3 linked regions of the Nothobranchius furzeri genome follow. Each later gene encodes a partner of the first gene's protein in a complex. Links are inferred from orthologs where the notes say so. Each region holds a gene or a part of one and is shown on either strand. Other genes may lie near its edges.

Evidence for each region.
Region 2: ruvbl2 (region 1) and acidic leucine-rich nuclear phosphoprotein 32 family member E share a complex: the UniProt entries of both Homo sapiens proteins name them as parts of the SWR1-like complex. The link is inferred for Nothobranchius furzeri from reciprocal best matches to the Homo sapiens genes RUVBL2 and ANP32E.
Region 3: ruvbl2 (region 1) and pfdn6 share a complex: the UniProt entries of both Homo sapiens proteins name them as parts of the PAQosome complex. The link is inferred for Nothobranchius furzeri from reciprocal best matches to the Homo sapiens genes RUVBL2 and PFDN6.

The regions. Positions count from the first base shown.
Region 1 is NC_091750.1:65,682,234-65,685,254, reverse strand, and holds the end of ruvbl2 (ruvB-like 2), read right to left. Parts: intron 1,640-3,021; coding exon 1,520-1,639; intron 1,433-1,519; coding exon 1,303-1,432; intron 1,212-1,302; coding exon 1,097-1,211; intron 989-1,096; coding exon 963-988; 3' UTR 622-962; downstream 1-621. UniProt on the Homo sapiens protein: Possesses single-stranded DNA-stimulated ATPase and ATP-dependent DNA helicase (5' to 3') activity; hexamerization is thought to be critical for ATP hydrolysis and adjacent subunits in the ring-like structure contribute to the ATPase activity.
Region 2 is NC_091745.1:59,038,567-59,042,322, forward strand, and holds the start of acidic leucine-rich nuclear phosphoprotein 32 family member E, read left to right. Parts: upstream 1-1,058; 5' UTR 1,059-1,209; coding exon 1,210-1,263; intron 1,264-3,756. UniProt on the Homo sapiens protein: Histone chaperone that specifically mediates the genome-wide removal of histone H2A.Z/H2AZ1 from the nucleosome: removes H2A.Z/H2AZ1 from its normal sites of deposition, especially from enhancer and insulator regions.
Region 3 is NC_091741.1:28,885,113-28,888,856, reverse strand, and holds the start of pfdn6 (prefoldin subunit 6), read left to right. Parts: upstream 1-930; 5' UTR 931-1,052; coding exon 1,053-1,116; intron 1,117-1,238; coding exon 1,239-1,309; intron 1,310-1,387; coding exon 1,388-1,512; intron 1,513-3,744. Other genes in the region: mmgt1 (ER membrane protein complex subunit 5), read right to left, coding at 1-17, 95-147, 408-486. UniProt on the Homo sapiens protein: Binds specifically to cytosolic chaperonin (c-CPN) and transfers target proteins to it. Binds to nascent polypeptide chain and promotes folding in an environment in which there are many competing pathways for nonnative proteins.

The sequences.
Region 1 (3,021 bases):
TATAATGTTCTGATTACTGACCTTTTGTGTATGATGGGGTGTTCTGATGTCCATAATAGATATTGGTCTGTGTGTGTTGGTTTCCTGTATGTGTTTATGTTTAGGGTCCCGTCGGCCTGCCTAGTCATTTTCATGTCCATAAATGCTATACTGCCATCTGTTTCTGACTCATTTGTGAACTCTGCAAACCCCAGATGTTTTGCAGTCGGCAAACTGTCAGCAAGGTAAAGAGAAACCTGTCCTGTGTTTTAAAAAAGAACCAAAAATGGAATTAGAAGCCAAACACAGAATAACGTACCAAAGATGGTTAAAGTCTCTTTTTAAAACTGATCTTAGCACTCCCCCTTGTGGTAAGAATGAGTACTGTAGCGTTTACACTGCACAGCTGGCTGAATTTAAGATTATCTTTTTTTAATGAGAAATTATTTAAATTGTGTGAAATGGGAAGTTTGGAGTAACTGCGGAGTGTTTTTTTCAGTAAGTGATAAATTATTTCTTCCCTTGTTTATTTTAGTCACAATTTTTCCAGATGAGCTAATTCTAATATCAAAGATAACCCGATTCTAATCTAATCTAGAAACTAAGAATCTGACTCTGTCTGAATACAAAAACACAAAAATCTGTAGTACAAAAGCCAGTTTATTTAGATCTAAAGAAATAAATCACATAAAGAGAAGTAAAAAACAAAACTACAAGGGAATGAATGTTCCTACCACATGACAACACGGAAAAGCCTTAGGATAATGCAGATTGATCCATTTTAAATCCAATTTCAGCACTGAGTTTTAAATTTTCTTTTGGAAAGAGAAATAATTAAGAATTTACTGCATTTTTTTTCTTTCTTTGCTGTAAATTGAAGTTAAAATCTAATTTATTGTCCAACTCTGAACTGACTTTAAATCTGGGTACTAAGAACAAACAAAAACAAGGCTGACGGTTATTATACAAGGCAGTCCTCTTGATTATGAGGTATCCATGGATGCTGTTTCTGAAACATGAAAAGAAACAGATTTAGCTTATTCACCGCTTTCATTCCAGATGTTAAAATCCTGGACAGAAAGTGATATTTCTATACATCCAGAGGAGGAAAACTCACGTGTTTCATTAAAGAGGAAGGAATCCTGATACTCCTTCATGTACTGGGAGGATCTGGCCTCATCCAGGAACAGAGAGTAAACCCGTTTAATGTCCTCCACTTGAACTTCTGTCCCCTTTAGCAGCAACAAAAAGACACGTGACACACACACACACACACACACGATTTGAGATCTGATGCTGATCCGACGCTTCCTCTGAGCTTACCTTACGTTTACGGCACACCAGTCCTGCAGTGCTGATCAGCTGGATGGCGTAGCGCAGCGACGTCTCCATGCCGATGCGAGTGAGGACCATGTGAGCCTCCTCACTCAGCTCAACATCCTCCTCCTCACACCTTACAAAGCACAAAAGTGTTTACTTCCCTAATTTGGATTTGGGAAGACAGGAACACGGTTCGTGGACAGGGAATACCGATTCCTACCGGATCTTAAGAATCTGCTTCAGCTCTCTCTCAGTGTAAGGAGAGGTGGCGATGATGAGCAGGCGGTCCAGCAGGTCGATGGGGATTCCATGAGGGCTCTGATAATTGGTGCCACGGATTCTATGAAGAAGATCATGTTCAATGTTATACAACAGAAAATTATAAGTACTTTCTTTCATTTTTCACAGATTTGAAAAAACAAATACAGCATTTTTATTTGTCAAATTAAAACAAGTGATCACAGTAAAGAAAACAATCTTTACTGACACTAGAGAGACATTTTTAAGAGTCAAATAAGTTTAATCACAAAGAGATATAATAAATAAGGTTGCAAGCATGCTTTATAAAACTGAGCCCAGATTAAAAGGAGGTAGTTTATGGAGGCTCAATCCCGCCACTATCTCATAATAGGGGTTGTATGAACTAGTCGAATAGTCGACTTCACGGCTCTGTAGTGACTTTTATGCCTGTCATCGACTAGTCGCTGTCAAGTGATAATGACTGACAAGATGCAGTCCTCGGAAAAGACAGCAGGTGATCCCCTGCGCGTCGGGAGGCAACGCGCTGTGCCAGAGCGTCGGTACTGACACCGGCGGTAAAACGGACATTTAACCAAATTGTGATGTTTACCCTCTTGCAATTTAACCTTCCCCTCACCCCCATCCTAACCTTAACCAGCTTGTGCATGCAAAGCTCTGATTGTTGATGCGCTCCAGACATCTGCGTCCTGAGCACGGCCACAGTAACATTATCAAATCAGGTGTCGCCACCTCAAAAACTAATTAAACACGCAATCGTTCATGTCGGCTCATTTCCTTTTATGTTTTTTGTCTTTTATTTGTGCCTGATGCGTTTCGCTGCTGCGGAGCGGGGCGCATCACCTGTTTTGTCCTCCGGTGACACACCTAACTGACGTGGCCGGCGAGCACTCCGCTGTTTTTGCGGTCGGTAGATCTTTTAGAACTGCAGTTCAAAGGTAACTCATAAGGTGAATATATATGAACCCAGGTAGCAGTTTTTCTTTAGGATTGAGAGGAGATGCAGGAAGATAATAAACAGACAGGACAGAAAAATAGTCAAATAAAAACAAGTTAGTTTTTGTACCTGGTGGTTGCAACAAACAGACACCATTGAAGGTAATCAGAAGTGAGGAACAGAAAATGAAATAATTATTTTAATGTTTAGAGCAGCAGGAACTCCGAGAGACTGCAGGCACATCAGTGAGTTTGCGGCCGCTGCGCAGGGGGGGGGGGGCTGAAGCAGAAACTACCGTTGTTAAAAGAAATGTCTTTAACTTAGAAAATGTGGGCGCAATTTTAATTGTCAAAAACTCCAGCGAACCTACCGACCCCCCCCCCCGCCGCTTCAGGTATATGACGTCATCAACGACTAGTCGAAGTCGACTCGATTTTCATTACTTGACTGTCGACTTTAAAAAAAATAAAGTCATGCAACCCCTATCTCATAATTACAACTTTACCATCTCATAATAAGATAGGGAA
Region 2 (3,756 bases), on another chromosome or scaffold:
AGACATTGAATGCTTGCTGTTTTTTAACATTGGTGGTCAAATTAATGGTGGGGACTATTGGGTCATTGCTGGATATTGGTGGGGACATGGTCACCTCCGTCCATGCCAAATCTACGCCCATTAACTAAGCTTAAGCTGTCCGTTTTACAGTTTGATTAACACTAGATGAACTGTCATGCATCAGACAATTAATGCACCAATAAACAATTTGAATGTAGCATCACATATTTTACACATTCAAACATATATACATATTTATATATAATATATATATATTTTTAATCCCCATCTCATCCTCCGCAGGTAGTCTCATCCCTCCAAGCTTCGGTTCCTATCAGAGACCTAGGAGCTTGAGGGTCCTGCACAGTATCTTAGCTGTTCCTACTGTAGTTTTTTGGACTGAGATGTCTGATTTTTTTTCCCTGGGATTTTCTTTAGCCACTCCTCCAGTTTGGGGGCTACTGCCCCAATGACCACGGGCACCACCGATGTCTTTACTCTCTAGGCTTTCTCAAGTTCTATTTTGAGGCTCTTGTACTTTTCTAGTTTTCTCATGTTCATAGATAGATAGATAGATAGATAGATAGATAGATAGATAGATAGATAGATAGATAGATAGATAGATACGATAAAATGCCACATATTGTTTTTGTTTCTCATTTTTATTGTAAATTCAGAAACAAGGTGGTGTTGTGTGTGTGTGTGTGTGTGCGTGCACGTGCGTATTGAAGACTGATCAGTTTAGGCTGGCTTTTACATAAACTCCTGTAGATCATCTGCCAGCTCTTAGTTTATTTGTGATTGTTAAACAATTAAAGTTCCCTTGGATTCAAAATCCAGTCTGCATGTTAAATGTTAAAACGGATTGCCATACACCGATAAACGAGAAGGACTTTGCGCCTGTTTGGCGGCAGGGCGGAATAAACCAATAAACCAGTTGTCGCTATGTCGTTAGTCAACCCGTTTTTGTTTTAACCAATGACAGACTAGGGTTATGTGTGTTATGATAGAGGGGAGGGGCTTAGTGGGTTTCTGTCCCCGTTGTTTTATCGTGAATCACAGAGGGGGCGTGGTCTAGATGGAGGCTGGGCAGTAGTTAACATGGTGGTTTAGTATTTGCCTGGTGTACGTCGGAGGAGGCCCTCGCTACCTGGATTTTAGTTTGTCTTTCTTTGTTACCCTTTTATTTTGTTTTCTTTAAGCTTCATCATGGAGATGAAGAAGAGGGTCAGTCTGGCGCTGAAGAGCAGAAGTCCCGCCGAGGTTTGTAATTAAAACAAAGTATACTGGTATTTAGTTCAAGGAGAAGGATGCGGAGTCCGACAGACACGATGCTGGTTTTATACCATGGAAACCTGCGTTAAGAGCCTTTCTGCGGGCTAAACAGAACATGTAGCTCCGCTGCGCTGCACTATTCTGAGAGGCTCTAGACCCGGTGGACTCCTCCGCGTTTAGTTTCTCGCGCTGTGACTTCTCGTTCTGGTTGCGGGAGAGCCTCGCGTGAGCCGGACTCAACAGCTAACAGTTAGCAGCAGCTAACGTGGTGATGGTCTGGTGCTCCTGGACCGACCCGAGCCGCTTAACAGCTCCCGATCTCGGTGTTTTACATAATGTGAGCGTAATTTTGTTGAGTTTTAGGTCAGAGCCAGCTGCAATTTAATCCTCTAAGTTTGTTGTTCATCCTTTAAGGAGTTTAGAACCAGACCATGTGTTATAGAAGCCAACTTTTACGTTTCATTCTTTGCAAACCTTCGCATCGCTTATGCGTGTTCGTCCTACTTTTTAAATTCCCTGGTGGTTTTCCCGCCCACATCGCTACAGAGGGTTGGGACTCCACGGGGTGAGTCTCTGTAGTTGTATCCGGATGGTGGTCTTTGGCGAGGTTCTGTGTAAAAAAAAAAACAACAAAAAACTAAAGATCATCGTTCCTAGGCCCTTTTATAAGTATTCAAATCAACAGTTGGTAAGTGACTACTGTTCAAAACTTATTCGTTTTCCTTCTCCTGAACAGCTGCTTCTCGTGAGCAATTATCAAACTTACTCTCTTAGACTGTTACTCAAACACGAAAACCCACTGTTTACGCATTTCTACCAAACATTCAACAGCAAATGCAGTCCACATTGTACATTTTTGTCCTTCACACATTATTTTGTTCTTGGTTTGTTTTCTAGCTTGAGTTTTCAGTATCTCAATCATCTCCTCTGTGACCTCAAAGCGCAGTACTCAACACCACCAGTAGATGGCACTCGGATACCATTTCTTTTTAACAATATAAGCCTATAAAATAAAACGCATTTAACTGCAGGCATGATTGCAGCATTACAGGTCCTTCAAAAAAATTGGCATATTGTAATAAAGTTCATTATTTTTTGTAATGTACTGATAAACATTAGACTTTCATATATATTAGATTCATTACACACAACTGAAGTAGTTCATTCCTTTTATTGTTTCTAATATCGATTATTTTGGCATACAGCTTATGAAAACCTAAAATTCCCATCTCAAAAAATTAACATGTTTCATCCGACCAATAAGTGTTTTAATACAAAAAAGTCAACCTTCAAATAATTATGTTCAGTTATGCACTCAATACTTGGTCAGGAATCCTTTTGCAGAAATGACTGCTTCAATGCGGCGTGGCATGGAGGCTATCAGCCTGTGGCACTGCTGAGGTGTTATGGAGGCCCAGGATGCTTCTATAGCGGCCTTAAGCTCATCCAGAGTGTTGGGTCTTATGTCTCAACTTTCTCTTCACAATATCCCACAGATTCTCTACGGGGTTCAGGTCAGGAGAGTTGGCAGGCCAATTGAGCACAGTAATACCATGGTCAGTAAACCATTTACCTGTGGTTTTGGCACTGTGAGCAGATGCCAGGTCGGGTCGTGCTGAAAAATGAAATCTTCATCTCCATAAAGTTTTTCAGCAGATGGAAGCATGCAGTGCTCCAAAATCTCCTGATGGCTAGCTGCACTGACCCTGCCCTTGATAAAACACAGTGGACCAACACCAGCAGCTGACATGCCACCCCAGACCACGGGCGCAGATAGGATTTTCAAACTGGGGGGGACAAAGATCCAATGTACCCTCCCCCACACACACACACATACACAAACTATTGCAAGAGCCTTAACTAGAGCTCAGTCAGTTTGTGTAATTTCATCCAATGGTTTACGTAAAAACTAACACTTTTATATACGTGTTTGAAGCCATTATGCAATGGAACGCTGGCAACGAAGCTCTGCCTGATCAACACTATAAATAATAAATGATCCGCACTTGTATAGCGCCTCTCAGAGTAAGGACTCCAAAGCGCTTTACACTACAGTGTATCATTCATCCATTCACACACTGATGGTGATGAGCTACGATGTAGCCACAGCTTCCCTGGGGCGCACTGACAGAGGCGCCCCACTATTTAATTCTGTCATTTGTTATTCTTCTATGATTACTAACCAAAACCTCATGCTTTATGCAAAACATTAAATGATTTTCAGCATACCAATCTTTACAGAAAACATAAAAACCCTAAAAAACTGCACATAAAATATATTTAAACAACGATATTCACTTATCACTTAGAACAGTGGTTTCCAAACTTTTCAGCCTGACCAACAGATGTTCCTTCGTGTTTTTACGTTATTTCGAAATTTTCATTATATTTGGAAAGTTTTTATTTATGTATAAATACATAAATCTCTTTTTAAATTTTATGCTTTACTTTTTTATGATTATGTGGCACACTTCCATACAT
Region 3 (3,744 bases), on another chromosome or scaffold:
AATGTCTGCAGAACGATCTGTGGTGGGAGCAAGACGACGGTGAAGACAAATAAAAAGCAGGGCTCTCTCTGAAGACCAGAGATGGGTTACTCACGTCGATAGGCAGCGTTTCGTGCTCCTTCTCTGTGAGCCGCATGTATGACCGATCTGATGGGAGAGTTGGGATTTAATCAGAGTAATATCGACAATAACTCACAGAATACTCTTAATCCAAACATTAAACGACGGCAGTCACACAGAAGCGAGCAGGTACAGATTAAAGTCTTCCTCCGTTGGAGGCTCTAGCGGAGCTAGCTAAGCTGCTGTGGCCACAGGCCCCGCGGTCCTTCACTCGGTGGAGACTCAGTCCAACCAGAACTAACCAACACAGGAAAACATCGGTCTAACATCTTGGCGCTGAAACTCACGCTGTGCTGCCGAGAACGCTGCGTGGGCCAAGGCAAAGAGTCCGATGCCGACAACACCTTTCCAAAACGAAGAAGCCATCTCGAAGCAGGGCTCAGAGGGACTGTGGGCACCGTCGTAAAACAGTCGTAAACTGACGCAACTGTCACTGCGTCAAAACCAAAACCTACCTGCCAAATGATTATTTATGTTCGTTAAATATTATTATTCGCAGCCTGATATCTGTAAAATCATTTTATTTATGTGTTTTTGCCCTCTATTTAGATTTTTGTGAGCTGAAAATACCCAAAGAAAGCTGTCAGACGTCAAATGGTGCATTCGAATCACATCCTAAATTACATGTTTCTAACCAAACTCATTGATCTCCAACCAATATATTTGATCGAAAATTGAAGATTAGATGTATAACTAGAAAGAGCTTTTCATGGTTTAGTGAGCGTTTGCGTCAAAATAAGTCCAGATACACATAATTTTATTCTGACCTCGATTTAAAACCAGAATATCCGAGTGTGCCCTGAATCTTCCACTACATCCGGTCTCTGCGTAGCTTCTTCCTGTTAGCTAGCGCTGTTCTCTCATGTTGCCTTGCTAAGCGCTCTGTTACAATAATTAAACTTTTACAGTTGTGTAAGATAAAATAAGCAAACATGGCAGACGCCATTCAGAAGAAATTAAAAGCGGAAGTAGAAAAGTATGCACAAATGCAGAAAGGTGGGTTTTCTTTATGTGCTATCACAAGTTTTAGAGGGCATGTAGCCGCTATGTGTGCATGAAGTAACGTTAGCTTTTTGGCCATAAGAATAGTTTTTTAACCCACCTGCGTGTTTTTTCAGATGTTAGCAAGAACATGTCAGCCAGACAGAAACTGGAGACGCAGCTGACAGAGAACAACATTGTTAAAGAGGTAACTTCAGTCCTGTATGGCTGTATATCACAACGGTTTGTGTGTAATAATCCAGACATGACTCGCCTGTGTTTCCAGGAGCTGGATCTGCTCGACAGCTCAAACACCATCTATAAACTTATCGGTCCTGTTTTAGTGAAACAAGATCTGGATGAGGCCAAAGCCACCGTGGCTAAAAGACTGGAGTACATCAACGGGGAAGTGTAAGTCAAGCTGCTGCTTTACTGTTCTACAGCTCACCTGCACACCAATGTCTGTGTCACAGTGGTGAAAGATGGTTAGATTTGATCTTGTTTTTACAATTTCAGGTGGACGAAGCCGGTTAAACCCTGATTTTACTCAGACTCAGGCAGGAATCTTAATGGAAACAAACATAAAATGTAATTCTGAGCAATGCCAGACGCAGAGATGAGATCATCAAATTAATGCGAATATTAAAAAAACAGTTGGCCCTTATCATTTATTGCCATTGACAGCTAAAGACGTCATTTTAAATCCAGTGGCTCGCTGCAATTGACAACTAAAGCTGTCAGTTGCATTGTTTTAACGGGGTGGGCGTGGGATCGAGCCCCCGCACCATGAGAGTAAACATGACGTCTCTAAAGCTGATCTTAGTCCGTGTGTCACACGTCACCTGATCAGGAAGGAGAAAATCCATGAATTGGGATATTGTTTTGGGACGCTGCTGTGAAAAAAGCGAGGCGCTAACCAGAAAAGCGTCTGCAGCTCACACTTGGACAACAGATTGTGAAAGAATGGTTAACGCTAGAAACACGGTGATTCTTCCTGATGTAAAAAGTGAGTCTACTCTTTCTTTCGATAGTTTTGGCGTTTGCATGATCATAGAGCACAACGTTCTGACTCTTCAAAATCAGTAAAAACGCTCAAAAACGCTGGCAGCCAGGGGATTTCTGATCAGAAAACAGCGCAGTGAGTGAGTTAAACAGGATCCACCATAGTTCCTTATTTTCTTGTGGGTTGAAGCTGCTGACAGTCGCTTTTAAAACCATTTATTTAACCAGGAAGTCTCATTTTTAGTTGAACATGAAGGGACTTTCTTAAATTAGCGTGTTTGACATAACCGAATCCTTCACTAAGCGATTCCGGGTTCTAGCATGGCGGTGGTTAGGATGATACGTTTCACCTCTTGAGTGTGCACTGACGGAAGCATATTTTTTGCGTGTCACTTTTCCACTCAAAACGCAGCACTGAAGAGATGAAGTTGGAGAGGAACGGAAAACTTCATCCACAAAGACCAGCAGTTTGTTTTACTGGAGAATTAGACTGGAAAACCGGCATTCCCAGTTAGAACCAGAGAGGAATGTTTCAGTAAATCTGAGTAAATACCTGCTGCTGGAATTAAATGAATCAAATACAAAATCAGAAAATACAAAAAAAAACAATCGAATCCAGAATTATAATAGTTTTACTAATTTTGCTTGTTATTCTCATCATTACATATTTCCAGAGATTGTGAGTTAATTAAAATTAAAAAACACAAATTCCATATTTCTGACTGTGAGGATTATGTATTTTGATACTCGACACCCAATGTGTCACATATTAAAATATGCTGACTAATCCCAGCTGTCAGCCGAACGAAGGATTAATTGTATTGGACACAGAGACAATCGCATATTTAAACCTGGAAACAAACAAACAAAAAAATTTGAAAAATACAAAAGCAATGAGACAAATGAAAAACCTGCTAAACTTTGGAGAAGCCATGGCGCTCACACCGCCTTCACACTGGCTCAGCAGGAGCAGGAACACCTCCCGTTCAGGTTCAGTTATCCTGGTTATTCCTCCTCTCCTCCTAATCCTCAACCTCCATCTTTGAGAGTGGAGCTTGAAAAATCAGAAAAATGTGACGGCTGGATCGAATCAACAACAAAAATAATTTTCCTACAAGGCATTCTGTTTCGGACACACAATCATTTATGTTGAAACGTACCTTAAAGGGATACGATGTAAAGTTTTCATATTTTTAATCATTTTCTTGAGTAAGTATGTGCTAGAATGACCCTTAAAGGAGTCATCACCCGTTACTACCGTGGATATCTACATCACATTATATTATTTAGGCCATGAAAGTCATTTGTATTGGAAAATTAATTAAAAAAGTGCTTTTCTGACCCTTTTTTGTAAAGGACAGGTTTTCTCACAAGAGCACACGCGATATTTCGGCTGTGCTGGGCGTGTCATTTGGAACCGTAGGGTGTCCATGAAAGATCCCGCCTTTCTCGCCTCTGATTGGCTAGAAGGACTCAACTACGATTGGCTATTTTATTTAGCAGCAAACTGGCTTCCCGGCCAGTGAAAATTCATTAGGAAGACATTATATGGATTTTTTTCAAGTGGAAAGGTGAAAACTTCAGGTGATGACTCCTTCAGCAGGGTTACAGAAATGTAACTCAGACCCCCGCAGCCCTCTG